2 linked regions of the Struthio camelus genome follow. The protein of the gene in region 1 interacts with the protein of each later gene in a pairwise test. Links are inferred from orthologs where the notes say so. Each region holds a gene or a part of one and is shown on either strand. Other genes may lie near its edges.

Region 1 (7,355 bases):
TTTCTTTTCACCACATGTGTACAGAATGGGCACTTGAACCTCATCCTGGGCAGATCATCTGTGAGAAAATAATTTAAGACAAACTTTATAAGTCATAACAAGTCTAGTCATGTAATATTCTAGGAAAAGGTTATTCTAGTTATGAAAAGCAACACGAGCAAAATGGCAAGCCATTTTTATTTTTAAAAAATATTATTATAGGTCTTTTCAAATACAAAGATCTTGTATTTTCCTGTTAATTACACAGGAGCGCAATAAAAAAAATGGAGCGGTCCATTAGCTATTTTAAAATGGATTTTAAAAATCCAAAAAAACTAATGACTTATATTTGCAGGATCAAGCTGTGGAGACGCTAAAGGTTATGCATTCTGAAAGGCTAGTTTTAATAAACTAATACAGCTATCAAGACAAATTTAAGACAGACATTTCTGTCATTCATAATTATTAAAAAATAAGAGTTAAACTTTCCAAAGTTACATTTCTGGGCAATACAGACCAACTTTTGTCAATATACACTTTCTTAGCAATGTATATTTTCTTACTGACAGAACAGACGATTAACAGATGATTATGTACTTATACTTAGAGCATTAAAACCAACTCTTACCTTCAGCCCAGCTTCCCATGACACCTAGAATCGAGGGCATGCTCGTATACTGCTCGTCTGCTTTTGAAGACTTGGATTTGCCAGAAGAACGAGGTGATTCATGCTCTTGCTGTGATACAGCTAAACTCCTTGGTATCACATCAGACCCTTGACCGTACTGGTATCCCACGTGAGGAGATTCAACTTCTGTTTCAATCTGAACTTGCTCCTCAGATTGAGTAACGTGGCCAGCAGGCTCAGAAGCCCTGTCCTCAAGTTTGCTTGATTTATAGTGAGGAATGTCAGAAGATTGCTGCAGTCCTAGGTGCCTGGTTTTTTTAATGGAATCCTGCCTTTGGTCATGCTTGGACAGCTGTTGCTGTGCATTTCTTTGAGAAGTTGGATAGTAGTTGAAATTGCTCCAAGCACTTCCACCCATCATACATGTCCCTTGATCCGGATTTAAGTGAGAATGTGGGGGGCTGCTTTCTGCCCTCCAGCCAGCACCATATAAGCAGGAGCGGTCCACGCCATTTGAATTTACATCTTTGTCCGAAAGACTGAAGTAGCGGTCCTTTTCCTTCTCACTGATGTCCAGAGATGACTTAATGAATGTCTTACACACGCTGATAACATCGGTCATCTGAAGATAGCTAGCCGCTGACATGACTTCAATGACGTTCTGACCAGTAAGGGACAGTTTGCCTGAATACACAAAATCTAGAATAACTGTAAACGTATCAGGAGAAAATGCCTGGAAAGTAGCTGTTGTTGGCTGACTAGTCTCCTTTGAACTCTGTGAAAGGAGCATTTTGAAATAGCCACTGCTGGCAAACAGCACATTTCGATGTGCTTTGAAGACCTTTCCCTCAACCAAGATATTGCAGTCACAGAATAAGTCCTGCCTGCGCTGCTCATTTAGTTGTTGCAGGAGGTGAAACTGGTGGGAAGAAATCTCCATTCCAGAAAAGGTGAAATGAAGTGTTGCTCTAAAATAAAAACATAATTAAAGTCTTGAGTTCAGCATCCTACAACTCAGCCAAAGATACTGCACCAGTTTTACAGATATCTTTTAAAATAATCCTTCTTAAAATATATGTTTTTAAATAACAATATGCATAACCATACATTCTATTTTGAAAAGAAAAGACTGCAAAAATAGAAAAAGCCACATAAACCCATACACGTTATTTGGCAGAGATGCGTGTGCTACAGCTAGGAGCATCTACTTCCTAAGGATGTGTGCAACTCGCTGGAAGCTGTACAACCTTCAGACAGTCAGCAACAAGACGACGAGCCCTTCAGCAGTTGCGAGTGTCTCGGTTGAAGAGTGTGTCCATGCCTTGAGTTGACGTTATCACATCGCCCTGGTCCGGCTGGGCTCATATCCTCGCCTCCGAAGGGACCAGAAATGGGTAGTCAGCGGCGGAGCCCTCAGCAGCCGCAGCCCTCCCGGCCCGGGCTCCCCCAGCATTGGTAGCGGTCGCCGTCACTCACCCGCCCGCCCGGCCGAATTGGTCGCTCGACCCTCGGGAGCCCGGGACGCCCGGCGGCGCAAGGCCCGCCCGCCAAGGCGCCTCGGCACCGCCTGGCTGCGCGGGCTGCCGCCCCCGGTCCTGCTGCCGCCGCCGCCGCTTGCCGCGGGGAGCGCAGCGTCAGCGCCCGCCAGGGCTCCGGGCGGCTGCGCGCGCCCACCGGGACACCGCGCCAGGCGCGCCGGGGCCGCAGCCGGAGCGACCGCGGAGCCGCTCGCGTTGCCGGAGCCGCGGTTCCCGCTCCCCCGGCCCCGCGGGGGCTCCGCCGCGCGGCGGCAGCCCGGCGCCTGGCGCCCGGCGTGGCCCCAGCAGCTCCTGCCGCCGCTGCCCGCCGCCTCCGCCGCGCCGGCAGCGCCCTGCCCGCCCCCTGCCGCGGCCCCTCTCGCCCCACACCCGCTGCCCAGCTCCCGCTCCCGCGCAGCCCTTTGTTGCCGTGCCTGGCTCCTCGCAGCCGCGCCCGGGGCTGCAAATGGCGCCCGCTTAGGTCTCTCCCAGCGCTGTGCAGCCCGGGTAACGAGCGGCTCCGAGCGGCGGCGGGGAGCGCGCCGGCCGCCCAGCGGGGACTGCGGAGCCGAGGGACGTCCCTCGCCGCCCCTCGCAGCAGGCTCGCTCTGGGGCCCTTTCCGCCCCCAAATCCCAACGCCCTGTCTGGCCTGCCGGCGTGCGAGAGCCGCCACTTACCGGCTGGGTTCTGCGGGTGGCTGCTGCCGCCGCCGCTGCCGCTTCGCCGAGAGGAGCAGGCGGTGGATGCGGGATCCCCGGCCCCCGCGTCGGGGCTCTTTGCGGTTTAAGGCAATGTGTTGGTCCCGCAGCCCCAAACCCTGGAAGCCCGAACGTGAGAGAAACAAAAGGTATTTGCTGACGTGGGCGTTGGACAGAGACGCCCGAGGGCTGGGGACACAATTAAAGGGGCAACGCACCGATTGCAGGCACAGCCCAGCAGCTTCCTCTGCCTGATCGCCCTGCAGTCTGGGCTGCTTCCCTCCTCTCACACCCACATGCTACCCAAGAGGGGATGTGATGCCCTAGATGTTTCCTTCTCACACCTTTATCTATAGCAGGGGCCTTGATGACCCAAATCCTTCCTTCATATGCCTGCGGCTTCCTCAAGAGGAGATGTAGTGTTCCTCTGTTTTTGCATGTCTCCGTTATCTTCTGAAGAAACCATAATATCTGAAATCCTTCCACCCAAGCCTCTCACCTTGTCTCACTTGAAGTTTGGAATCTTTCTCTTTCCTGTTCTTACCACCAGGGTATTTTCTGTGCTCTGACACCCCAGATATTTCTCATAAATACTTCTTCTCCCATGGGAGCCGTTCTGCCTTAACCATATCCTTTGTGTCCTTTTTAGCCCTCCCTTCCATAAACTTAAGACATTCCATCTTGAAACAATTTAAGTTCCTTTTCCCCACTGTGGGGAAAAGGGAAAGTTATCTACAGACTCTTTCCTCTCATAGTCAAAAACATTCTCTCAGGATATCCTATAAATTTAGTCATACCCAATTTATATCCATATATGTTGTAACAATATTTATTGTCAACTTAATTCACCCTTTTTAATAACCTTCCCTCGTTTTGTGGATTCCATCTCCTTTCAAACTTTAATATGCAGGCCGCATTCTTAAATCTTTCATAAGACCTGCCAGTTTAAATTAATCATTCTTGAACATAAAAGTGATCAGAGCTTGAACAGTATTTGACATGACACTGTTCAGGGCCCTGGACAATGATATTAATTCTCCGACAACTGAAAACATTTGAATCTGCTGTATCCTACAGCTGACCAGCCTTTTCCAGCCATGTCACAATACTACTTCATAATCATCGTGTGATCAGTGGATACATCTCTCTAGTCTTCGGTTGTGTCCAGTAGCTTGTAATATGTATTCTTCTATCTAAAGTCATACTTTTTGCATTTTGTACTGTTAAATTTTCCACATTTCTGTCAGTGCAGTCCAAAAAGACTTTAATCTGTAAATTCCTGTAAATTCCATTTTGCGTGGTATTGACAATTCCTTAGAATTTGTATCATCTGCAAATGTCATAAGATTGTATTGTACTTTTACATCAAAGTCTAAATAATGTATTAGCTGAACTGATTCCAAAGCTGGTCCAGGGGACCATTAGTAACTCTCTTCCTCCTCATCACTCCCCTTTCAGGGTAACTCAGCATAACCCCAGTTCCCAACTTCTTCCAGTTCTTACATTATTCAGTGGTGCATACCTGCACGTTGAATACTCTGTACAGTCCAGGTGTCACTCATCTCAAAGAGGATACACAGGAGCCTGAAAAGGGAAAGAGAAATGATAAAAGGTCTGGAACAGCTTTGTGCAAATGTCTATGCTGTGTGGAATCTCCAAACCAGAAAAAAATTGAGGCAGATGAGGTAAGATGAAAGTCTATAAAATCACAAGTGGTTCCTCAGATAACTTGTAGTTAGACACTGGAATTTCTTGCCACAGGCTGTTGTGGACACGAAAAGTTGGAGTGTTATGTGGGATACTGGACCAGCTCATGAGAGAGACCTGATATTTGCTCACAGAAATGTCCTGTATCTCAGGAAATCCCCGAGTCATAAACCTCCTACAGTTAAAAGTCAGGTAAAAGTATTGCTGTATGCTTGCCATATTCTTCCACAGAGCAACTGCTTTTGACTGCTATTGTAAACAGGATAGTGGGTTAGATGAGCTGGTACAGCTGTCCTTTGGTTAATTCTCATACACTGCTATCCCTGAATTTACAGAACCACTGGAAACTGGCTACTAGCTACTACTAACTTGCAATTAGCTGTGCTTATTCTTTCTAAATTGTGCTCAGTCCGGTGGAGTTTGTCAGTTCCACTGTCGGTTCCCTTTCCTCTCCCTCAGTCTCGGCAAAGCAAGCAGGATAGGTTTTACTTACATCTCAGATACTGTTGTGCCCTGTCCCAGTTCTTAGGCAATATTCTTATCATTGCTGTCATACATATTAAAATCTTTTTAGAAAATAAGGCAAAATGTTCTCATGGTATTTGGTCTATGCTTTGTTAGTCTTAAACGTCATCCATCCTAGTTGTCAGATGGCTATGGGGCTGGCATTATCTAACTGATTTCTCCCAAAGAAGCAAAAGGAATTTGGACAAGAAAGGAAAGAGGCTGTAGCCATAAGCAAACAGACAGAAAAAGGAAAGACAGGACAAAACAATCTTTCACATTTTATTCATACTGCGTTCACTCATAACGCATACGATATTCCTTTCTGCAAGCCACAGAAGACCTTATCATGTCATGCCTGAAAGTTGTGGACATGTCGTGTGTGCATTGGCCTCTTCTCATGCCAACTTTATAATTTTTCAGCCTTGGATGAAGTTTATTTGTATCCCAGTAAATACTACATACAAACTACTGTGAGATTTGTTTAGTATGTGCTTTGCTTTTCTCCAGTGTGCCTTTGCAGACATGTTGTATTTGCGTTTGCTTTAGTCTGTGGCAGCAGATGTTTCTTGTCAAGGCTGGAGAATACCAGAATCAAACACCATGTCTTTGGTCATGATTCCTTTCTGCACTGAAATAAGTTGAATTTAGAGTGGCTCTCCTGGCATGTAACACATTTACCTGTAGTCCAAAGCAAGTCAATACAGGCAATGAGAGAAACCGCCACTGCAATGAATTATATAAACAGGAGGAGCCAAGTTGGCTCCTCTGCGTCAGGAAAAAGTCCAGCTGTAAGAATGGTGAAGGAACCATCAAGTTTCTACCACTGCTGACTGTCTTTCAGGACAAATGAACGTCTTTGCAAATTGGCTGAACAACACTTTTTGACCTTAAGTAGTTCATAGTAATTTCCTTTAGATCTCTAAACAGTGAATTCACCTGATTTTAGACATGTTAGTTACAGAAATAAACAAATATGCACTTCTACCCCTTTTATTTGAAAGGAGTAAAAATGAGGAATATCTATTAAAAGCCCTCCTAATAGTCACAGTCTTCGATTCTGTTGTACAGCTACTGGTAAATCCTATTTAGAAAGTGTCTCTAAGTGCTGGTATTTCAGCAAGCAAATATTGTGAAAATTTGCTTGTTTCTGTAGGTAGCAGCACAAAGGGTAGCAATATGGCGTATCCCTATTATCTGCTTTTGAGTGGCCAGTTTGAATAACAAGATACCCTCTTACAGATGGCTTTATTCCAAGGGTAAATTTCTGTCAACATTTAAGTTGTGAGACATCTAGCAATGTCACTAAAGTCAGGAGTAAGTTAAATTTAGAGTCTGTCAATCCAGATAATCCTTCCATAAACAAAACTCCATCTTCAACAAATATATTTATTTTCAATTTTTAGGATATTAATGAGCAGTTAGCAAGTTTTCTTTGAACGTAGTCTTTTTTTCCTAGTCTTCTGTACATCTCACCGCTATGCAAATTGTTCTGCCAACGCAGATCACTGTCTCTTTGATACTTGCTGATTTCTATGGAGATTTATGCACAAGCACAGAGGTTGACCACGCTAAACAGAGTTGAGTCCTTGGACCTTAAGTCTTTTCCATACTATCCACAAAAAAAGCATTGTATGTGTTACAGGAACTTAGCAATGCTGTGTGAGAATACTAAGATTAAACTCTGTCAGAAACAAAAACCGGAACCTGTAGTAGTATACTTAAATTTATTATAAATCTTTAAACAAGATTTTTTATTTGCAGTACTAGACTTTTATAGTGCTTGAATTCATTCCTCTAAAGTTTGATAGTGCCTGCAAATTCAACTAAGTAGCACCTCTTTTTATGTAACAACCTACACATTTTTTCAAATCCATGCCCAAGATATTTCATCTGCTGAAAACTTCCTTCTGAAACAAACTATTTGTGGGCATATGTTGTTCTATGTCACTTAGCTGAGGTTTCAGATAATTTGTACTCTCGCTTGTAAGAGCTGAGCATGGCAGTTTGTACCAATAGCAGTGGGAGCTGAAGGGTTCTCCATCTATTAGGATCAGACTAACAGAATTTAAAAAGTAGAAAAAATGCAGCAAGATCTAGAGTAGTTTCAATCAGAATTTCCACAGAGGTTGCAAGTGCTTTGCTCAGAGTACTTCAATAACCTTGCCCAGGCTCTACTGACTGCTGCTAGGAGCAGCCATGGAACTGACTATTGGTTTTCTCATCCATAGGGACTAACTTCATCCTGTTTTGCGCAATAATACGTCACAAACAATACACTGATTCTAGAGGTGTATTTAGTTACTTACTCTAGTGCTTTG
Region 2 (7,335 bases), on another chromosome or scaffold:
ATTCGGGCTGGCAAACCGCACGCTCCGCTACACGGAGGGACACGGCTACAGATCAGGTCTGTCCCCAAGGCCACCCAGCGGCTGCACTGGATTTCCTAGCTTTCTGACAGGATGTCAGAAGGGAGATGAGAGACCCACTGAAACCCTGCAGCCAGGAAAGGGTTTTCCATGGACTGGGGTGGGGGCAGTTGAAGTAATTGGACTGTCGCTGTCTAATCTTACAGCTGAAAGTCTATTTCTGGTTGCCCCATAGTGTTTGAGAGCGGCTGGGACAGGCTCTCTCCCTGCCTGGTGCTAGAGAGGATCCTCCTGCAGAGCGCGAGAGGAGGGAGACCTCACGCAGCAAGGAGGATACAGAAGCGTAACCAACGGAACCGGTGCACACGCAGGCACGGCTGTGCTGAAGGACACAGAAACCGTCTGGCCAGCTGGTAGTTTCTGAACGTCCGTAAAAAACAAACCCTTTGCTGAGGGTATTGCAGAAAGAAATGGAAACCAGCTCGTGTGAGCAGCTACTCACCCAGACAGGAGGCACCTCCTTCTGCACCAGGCTCGGCCTGGGCAACGCTGCTCCTGCAAAACCAGAACAGCACAGGCAGCATTTCAGGGGTTACAGAGGGAACACGTCTCGCTGGAGACAGCACAGTGACAACACTGAACGTGACAGCAGTGTTTGGTTAGTTGGAAGCCGCGTTCACCCATTAACTTTTCAGCTACTAAAAATACATCTTGTCCCAGGAATTTGGCGCCCGGAAATTCCACGGGGAAGTTAACATATACAAACGCGTGACAATTTACTACTCCAAAAAACAACCGGGAACAGAAAAAGGCAACGTACTTTCCTTTTGACTTTATATGGCCCGTAGGAGACGCGTTCACCCTCTGAATAAACGTCCTGAGGACGCTGCGGCATTTGTAGAACTGGGCATGGCATTTCTTGCAGACAAACTGGGGGAGCGCAGGGTCCTGTCGTACCGCGACTCCGACCAGCCGCTGGAAGTCCGTGAAGAACACCTGATCCACGCGGCGCTGCTTCTCCGAGTTCTCTCCCATCACAGGAACCTTTCCGAAAGCATTGCGCAGGCTCCGGGAAGAAAACTTCCCATGGCAGAGGCGACAATATCCAGTGCTCAGGGCTCTGCCAATTCCTAGGAGAGAAGGTTTGAACACAATTGCTCAGTGCCTGCTGCAAGAGCACTACAGCCAGCTACGGCCCCGAGGCACCAGCACGCTGGAAGACGTTACCCTTCCTTTGATCCCAGTCAGCAGGCTGCCTCAGAAGCCCTGGCTTCAGCAAAAGGCAGGGGCGCACAGAAAGGCAGCGCAGGATGGGACCTTCTCTGCGACTGAAGCCAGTCGCCTGCTGAACAGAGGCAGCACACCATAAATTGACTGGGCTATACCCAAAAAGCAGCAAGGTTCCTGGCCGGTACCCCAGGGAGGCTGTTCCAGCCTCGATTGCCCTAATGGAGGAATCTCCTCCCGGTTTCCAGCTGCGACGTTTTCAGGGTTCACTTACACACGTTTGTGCTTTTGCCAACAGTGTCCTTCAGCTTACGTAGTTGTTCTCCTTCCCCAGCGTTTATCTCCAGTGTATTTATAGACAGTGGTCACGTCCATCAGCCTCTGCTCTGCGAGTGTGAGCCACCCAAGCTCCTAACAGCCTCTTCCAAGACACGCTATTTCTCAGCGCCCTAACGGTCCCTGTCCAAGTCCGTCCCAGCAGCCTGGGAGCAGGGTATCGAGCCGGAGACCTGCTTGTTGAGCTGCGGGGACAAGAGCGAGGCGGCCTGCAGACAGCAAAGAGCAAGGCCCGGGAGGAGGCAGCAGGGCAGGATGCAAAGCACGTGCCTTCTCACTAAGGGTTCGCTGACCCGCGTGCCGCTCCTCCCGCCTGCGACCCAGCCGGCTGCTCTCCCGCTCCCCAGCACCGCTCCTGCCCTGCGCATCTTCCACAGCCTGCTGCGTCCGTCCTCAGCCACCGCCCGGCTCCTCCGCGAAGAGCCCGGCTTTATCTCCCCAACGCAGTCTCTTCCAGGGCCTGATACAACACAGCTGCGCTTTAAACCCCATCGGAAAACAAGCAGCCAACTGACTCTGGTCCCCCTGCGCGCCTGCTCCGAGGGCCAGGCGGCAGCAGGTTCCCGAGGGGCCAGAGCCCCCGGGCGGCTCGGCCGCGCGGGGTCCGGCACGCACAGCCCTCGCCGAGCGCCGCCAGCAGCGCCCGCCTTCAGAGCCTCGCGGGTTCCCCTCGCGCCCTGGGCGGGAGGGACGCGGCCCCCCCGGCCGGTCCGGATAGCGGCGCCAGGGGCGCAAAGCCCCCGGCCCCGGGGCAGCGGCGGGAGGTGGGGAAGGCCGGCGAGCGTCCGGGCGAACTCACGAAGGCTTCGGAGGGCTGAAAAGCTCGATTCTAGGGCGAGCTCTGGCAGGGGGGACGCCGACTCGCTCCGCGGCGGACAGCCGGCACCTCCCGCCGTTGCGGGATGCTGTTATGCAGGCGCTGGCCTCCCCACGGGTGTCCTCGCGACGCTCACCCGCCGGGCCCGCCGCAGACGGACGGACGGACGGACGGACGGGGCGCAGAGGCCTGGCTGCCCTCAGGCTTTCGGTCGGCCCGTTCTCCAGAACCGGAAGGTTTCCGCCCGCCGCCCCCTTTACCGCCCCACGCAGCCGTAGCTGCCTCAGGGCCCCCAGAGCGAAAACCGCCCCGGCCGGGGGGCGGCGGGCCGGGACCGCACCGCTCCGCACCGCTCCGCCGGGGCCGAGCACAAAGCGGCGGCGGCGGCGGCGGCGGCGGCGGCGGCGGCGGCGGCGCTGCCCCCCCCCCCCCGCGCCGGGCCCGGGGAACGGGAGCGACCGCCGCTCCGCCGGGGCACCGGACCCCGCGGCCTCGCCCCGGGCCTCACCTGCCTCCGCGGCGCCGCCCAGAGCGGCGGGCCGAGCCCAAGCGGCCGCCGGAACCGGGGCCGGAACCGGGGCCGGGGCCCACCCCGCGGGCGGCTCGGGCCGCGCCGGGGAGCCGCGGGCCGCCGTGCCGGAGCGCCGTCGGGGCTCGGCCGGAGTCGCGCCGGGGCCGCCCGCGGCCGCCAGGAACCGGCCGCGCCGATCCCGCTTCATCGCCGCCGCCGCCGGCCCGGCCCGGTCCTCCGCCGCCGCCGCAGCGCCCCCTGCCGCCGGGAGGAGCCGCCGCACCGGGCCGCGAGCCGGCGGGGGGCGGCCGTGCCCGCCGCGCCGCTGCCGCCGCTGCCGCCGCCGCCGGTTCCGGTTCCGGCTCCGGTTGGGGCGGGGCGGGGGCGGCACGTGGCGCGGCGGCGGCGGCGGCGGCGGCGCGGTCCGGCGGCCTCAGCGCTCCGGGCGGCCGCCGCGGTGCCCGCCCCGCCCGTTCCCCCCCGGCGCCGCGGCCCGCGCGCACCGTTCCGGGCTGCGGCCGCCATGGCGGCGGGCGGCGGCGCCGGGACCGGGCCCGGGAGCGGGGCTGGGACCGGGCCGGACCGCGCCCTGCAGGCCGCCATGAAGCTGGCGAACGGTGCCCTGGAGCTGGACAGCGGCGGCCGCCCGCGGGTGAGCACCGGGCCGGGCCGGGCCCCCTCCCGCCGCCGGGGGGACAACGGGCCCGGCCCCTCCGGGACCCCTTGTCGTCCCCCCCCCGTCGTGCCCTGGGGACCCCTCGTCCCCTCCCGGCCCCCCCCCGTCGTGCCCTGGGGACCCCTCGTCCCCTCTGCTTGCTCCCCCCCGTCGTGCCCTGGGGACCCCTCGTCCCCTCCCGGCCCCCCCTGTCGTGCCCTGGGGACCCCTCGTCCCCTCCCGGCCCCCCCTGTCGTGCCCTGGGGACCCCTCGTCCCCTCCCGGCCCCCCCCCGTCGTGCCCTGGGGACCCCTCGTCCCCTCCTGGCCCCCCCCCGTCGTGCCCTGGGGACCCCTCGTCCCCTCCTGGCCCCCCCCCGTCGTGCCCTGGGGACCCCTCGTCCCCTCTGCCCCCCCCGTCGTGCCCTGGGGACCCCTCGTCCCCTCCCGGCCCCCCCCGCGTCGTGCCCTGGGGACCCCTCGTTCCCTCTGCCCCCCCCGTCGTGCCCTGGGGACCCCTCGTCCCCTCTGCTTGCTCCCCCCCCGCGTCGTGCCCTGGGGACCCCTCGTCCCCTCCTGGCCCCCCCCGTCGTGCCCTGGGGACCCCTCGTCCCCTCTGTCCCCCCCGTCGTGCCCTGGGGACCCCTCGTCCCCTCTGTCCCCCCCGTCGTGCCCTGGGGACCCCTCGTCCCCTCTGCCCCCCCCGCGTCGTGCCCTGGGGACCCGTCGTCCCCTCCTGGCCCCCCCCCGTCGTGCCCTGGGGACCCCTCGTCCCCTCTGGGACCCCCCCAGTGCCCGCTCTCCCTGGCCCGGTGGCCCGGAGAACCCCCCCCACCTGCTTTGGGACCCCCTCAGCCCCTGTGTCAGCCCCCCACCCCCAGCTCCTGGGCCCCACTTCGGGCCCCCCCCATGGACGCCCTGCGGTCCCCGAGCCCGGGGGGGGGGGTTATTCCCTTTGCCCCCACCCCCTGGAAACGGGGCGGGTGTGAGGCCGGGCTGGAGGGGGTCGCGGTGCCCCCCGGGCCGTGGCAGGGGACCGGGTCCGGCTCAGCAGCCCTCTCCGGCAGGAGGCCTACGCGGAGTATCTGCGGAGCATCAGCTTCATCGCCCAGGCCCTGCAGGAGGACGCGGCGGCCGGCACAGGTGCGGGCGGCCTCCGCGACACCCCCTGCCCCGGCCGGAGCCCGGGGGTCCCCGCCGGGCTCCCCAGGCCGGCGCGTGGCAGCAGGGCGCTCGCCGGCCCTGTGGAGCGGCTCCTTGTTCGGGCAGCTGCTTGCAGGAAAGACGCTTCCGTTGCAGCGGAAGAAGCGCTGCCTTGGCGGGGGGCTGCCGGGACCCCCTCGCCCCCGGGCGGGCGTGCGGAGGCGTCCCCCGCCCCGGTGCCATCGGAGCGGTGCCCAGGGCCCTGGGGACCGCGGCCGCTCTGCCCACACGGCATCCTCCGTGCAGACGGCAGCGAGGGCCTGGCGCCCGACACCCCGAAGATGCTGAAGCTCGCGGAGCAGTGCCTGGAGAGAGTCAAGTCCATCGCGGCCGCGCTCGGTGAGCGATGCTGTCCCTGCGGCGGCGGGGCGCAGCGCAGCGAGCGGGGCTCGCGCGCCCTGACCGTCCTCCCCTCCCCAGGGACAGCCAAGGCCAAACCTGCCGCCCAGGAGAGGAGCACGGGCCCCGCGCCCGTCTCCCGGCACCGCAGGGTCTTCTCGGACGAGGGGGGCAAGCTCTCTCCTTTCCTGCCGCCGGAGATCTTCCAGAAGCTGCAGATCGCCGAAGCTCAGCGCGCCAGGAAGTACGTGGGCCATCGGCAGGGCGGTGACGTGGGGGGCCGAGGCCTGGCGGCCCCCAGCGTTCGGGTGCGGAGGGACGGCGTCCGGTCCTCGGCAGGGTGCTGGGCGCCTGTGCTGAGCGCCCAAGGGCCCCGTGGCGCGCGCCCGCCGTTTGCGTACCTCCCGGCCGCCCCGGGAAGGCGCTCAGGGCTCGTTGCCGGCAGGGAGCTGACGCCGCTGGAGGAGGCGTCTCTGCAGAACCAGAAGCTGAAGGCTGCCTACGAGGCCCGGGTGGCGCGGCTGAACCCCCGCCAGGCCCTGCAGAAGACCTCCCTGGCAAGTGGGGAGCGCCGAGGGCTGGGGCTCTGCACGGGCTGGGCACGGAGCCGGGCAGCTCCCAACCCCCCCAGTCCCTCCCCGGGGCCTCGGCCAGAGTCGCGTCGGGTGTTGCAGGGCCCAAGCGGCCCTGGAGAGGCCCTGGCCCTGCTGGGGTGGCTCTGGGCCTGGGAAGGGAAAGGGCTCCTGCAGCGGCAGGGAGGTGGGGCGGGAGCATGCAGGCGCGATGGACCCCGGGCTGGGCTGGGAGGGAGCAGAGGGTCCCGCGAGGTGCCTGGGAGTTCCCCGAGCTGCCTGCCTGTCCGCATGCTCCCGCTGTGGCACGGGTGGCCGTGGGCTTTTGGCAGGCGTCACCAACACGCGCTCTGCTCCGCAGACGCTGTCCCTCCAGCGGCAGATGATGGAGAACCTGGTGATCGCCAAGGCCCGGGAGGAGACCGTATCCTTCCCGTTCGAAGAGCTCTGAGCGTGGGCCGTGCGGCTCTGCTGGGCCCCTGCTCTGCAGGGAGCATCGATGCAGCCAGGCCGGAGCAGCCCCGAGCCTGCGGGCAGCCCCAGCGCCTCTGGGCCTGCGCGTAGCCCGGGTTTCGTAGCCCCGTGCGCTGCTGCGGACACCTGTGCCTCGTCCCTGGGCTGCGCTGATCCAAAACGCGCTTTTGGGATCTGCTGTTACGGGCTGCCTTGGGGGGAAACGGGGTGGGAGAAGGGCAGATCCTGGCTCCTGCCCGGTAGGAGGCGGTGGCTGAGCCTGGACAAGCAGAGGCTGGAAGGCTCCTGCCCAGCTCTCCCCGGGCCGGCGTGGGGGTCCCGCAGGGGCTCCAGCCATGCTCGCCATGGTGGCGGGCCGTCAGGGACCCCCGGGCCGCGGGAGGAGACGCCGGGGCTGGCCGTGCGGGGTGGCGGGCGAGCGGGCTGGCCCCGTGCCGTGGTGGCGGCGGTGGCACGCAGGTGGCTCTGGAGCCTTGACTCTGCCGTGGCCCAGCTGCAGCGGAAAATGGAGGAGCGGCGGCTGCGGCTGCAGGAGGCTGCCAACAGGTGAGCGGGGCCGGGGCGTCGCGGCAGGGGGACCCCGCAGGCGCAGGGACCTCGTGTCCCTGTGCCTGGAGGGGGGTGCTGGTGGCGCCGCCCAGCAGACCCCCGCTGCCCACCGCCGCTGCTGCCCGGGCAGGAGGTTCTCCGGCAGCGTGGCCCTCACCCCCGAGGAGCAGGAGCAGAGAGCCCTCTACGCCGCCGTCCTCGAGTACGAGCAGGACCACGTGAGTGCGCTCCGGGGGCTGCTGCCTCCGGCCCCACTGGCCCGGGAAGCCTTATCCTGGGGGTGGGATGCTGCCTGGGGGGGCAGGATGCCCTTGCCTGGGGAAGGGATGCCTGGCCCTGGCAGCAGGACGCCTACTGTCCCCGTGTGCTGCTGGGGGCAGGATGCCTGCCGTCCCCGGGTCCGGGGGGAGCAGGACGCGGTGCCGTCCCGGCCCCGGGGTCCCGTCTCATCCGCCCGCGGGCGCTCTCCCAGGACTGGCCGCGGCAGTGGAAGGCCAAGCTGAAGCGGAGCCCGGCGGATCTCTCCGTGGTGGCGGGGCTCTTCTCCTGCCTCCTCAGGTAGCGCCTGGGCTGGGAAGGGGCCGGGCTGGGAGGGAGGGAGGGGGCCGCGGCTGCTTGCCAATGCCTCCTGGCGC

Evidence for each region. The genes of interacting proteins can lie anywhere in the genome.
Region 2: the proteins of zinc finger and BTB domain-containing protein 8A (region 1) and ZNF276 interact in binary tests that used the Homo sapiens proteins (3 or more experiments, as listed by UniProt). The two-hybrid records come from large-scale screens. The link is inferred for Struthio camelus from reciprocal best matches to the Homo sapiens genes ZBTB8A and ZNF276.

Annotation. Positions count from the first base shown.
Region 1 is NC_090964.1:8,489,944-8,497,298, forward strand, and holds the start of zinc finger and BTB domain-containing protein 8A, read right to left. Parts: upstream 3,032-7,355; 5' UTR 2,803-3,031; intron 2,741-2,802; exon of another isoform or gene 2,559-2,740; intron 1,993-2,558; exon of another isoform or gene 1,981-1,992; 5' UTR 1,812-1,980; coding exon 1,771-1,811; intron 1,576-1,770; coding exon 608-1,575; intron 59-607; coding exon 1-58. UniProt on the Homo sapiens protein: May be involved in transcriptional regulation.
Region 2 is NC_090951.1:1,870,262-1,877,596, forward strand, and holds the start of ZNF276 (zinc finger protein 276), read right to left. Parts: upstream 3,118-7,335; coding exon 2,907-3,117; intron 2,580-2,906; exon of another isoform or gene 2,381-2,579; intron 1,948-2,380; exon of another isoform or gene 1,520-1,947; intron 1,149-1,519; coding exon 839-1,148; intron 574-838; coding exon 521-573; intron 1-520. Other genes in the region: VPS9D1 (VPS9 domain-containing protein 1), read left to right, coding at 3,433-3,561, 4,631-4,706, 5,013-5,105, 5,187-5,349, 5,551-5,662, 6,039-6,101, 6,645-6,697, 6,831-6,918 and 1 more. UniProt on the Homo sapiens protein: May be involved in transcriptional regulation.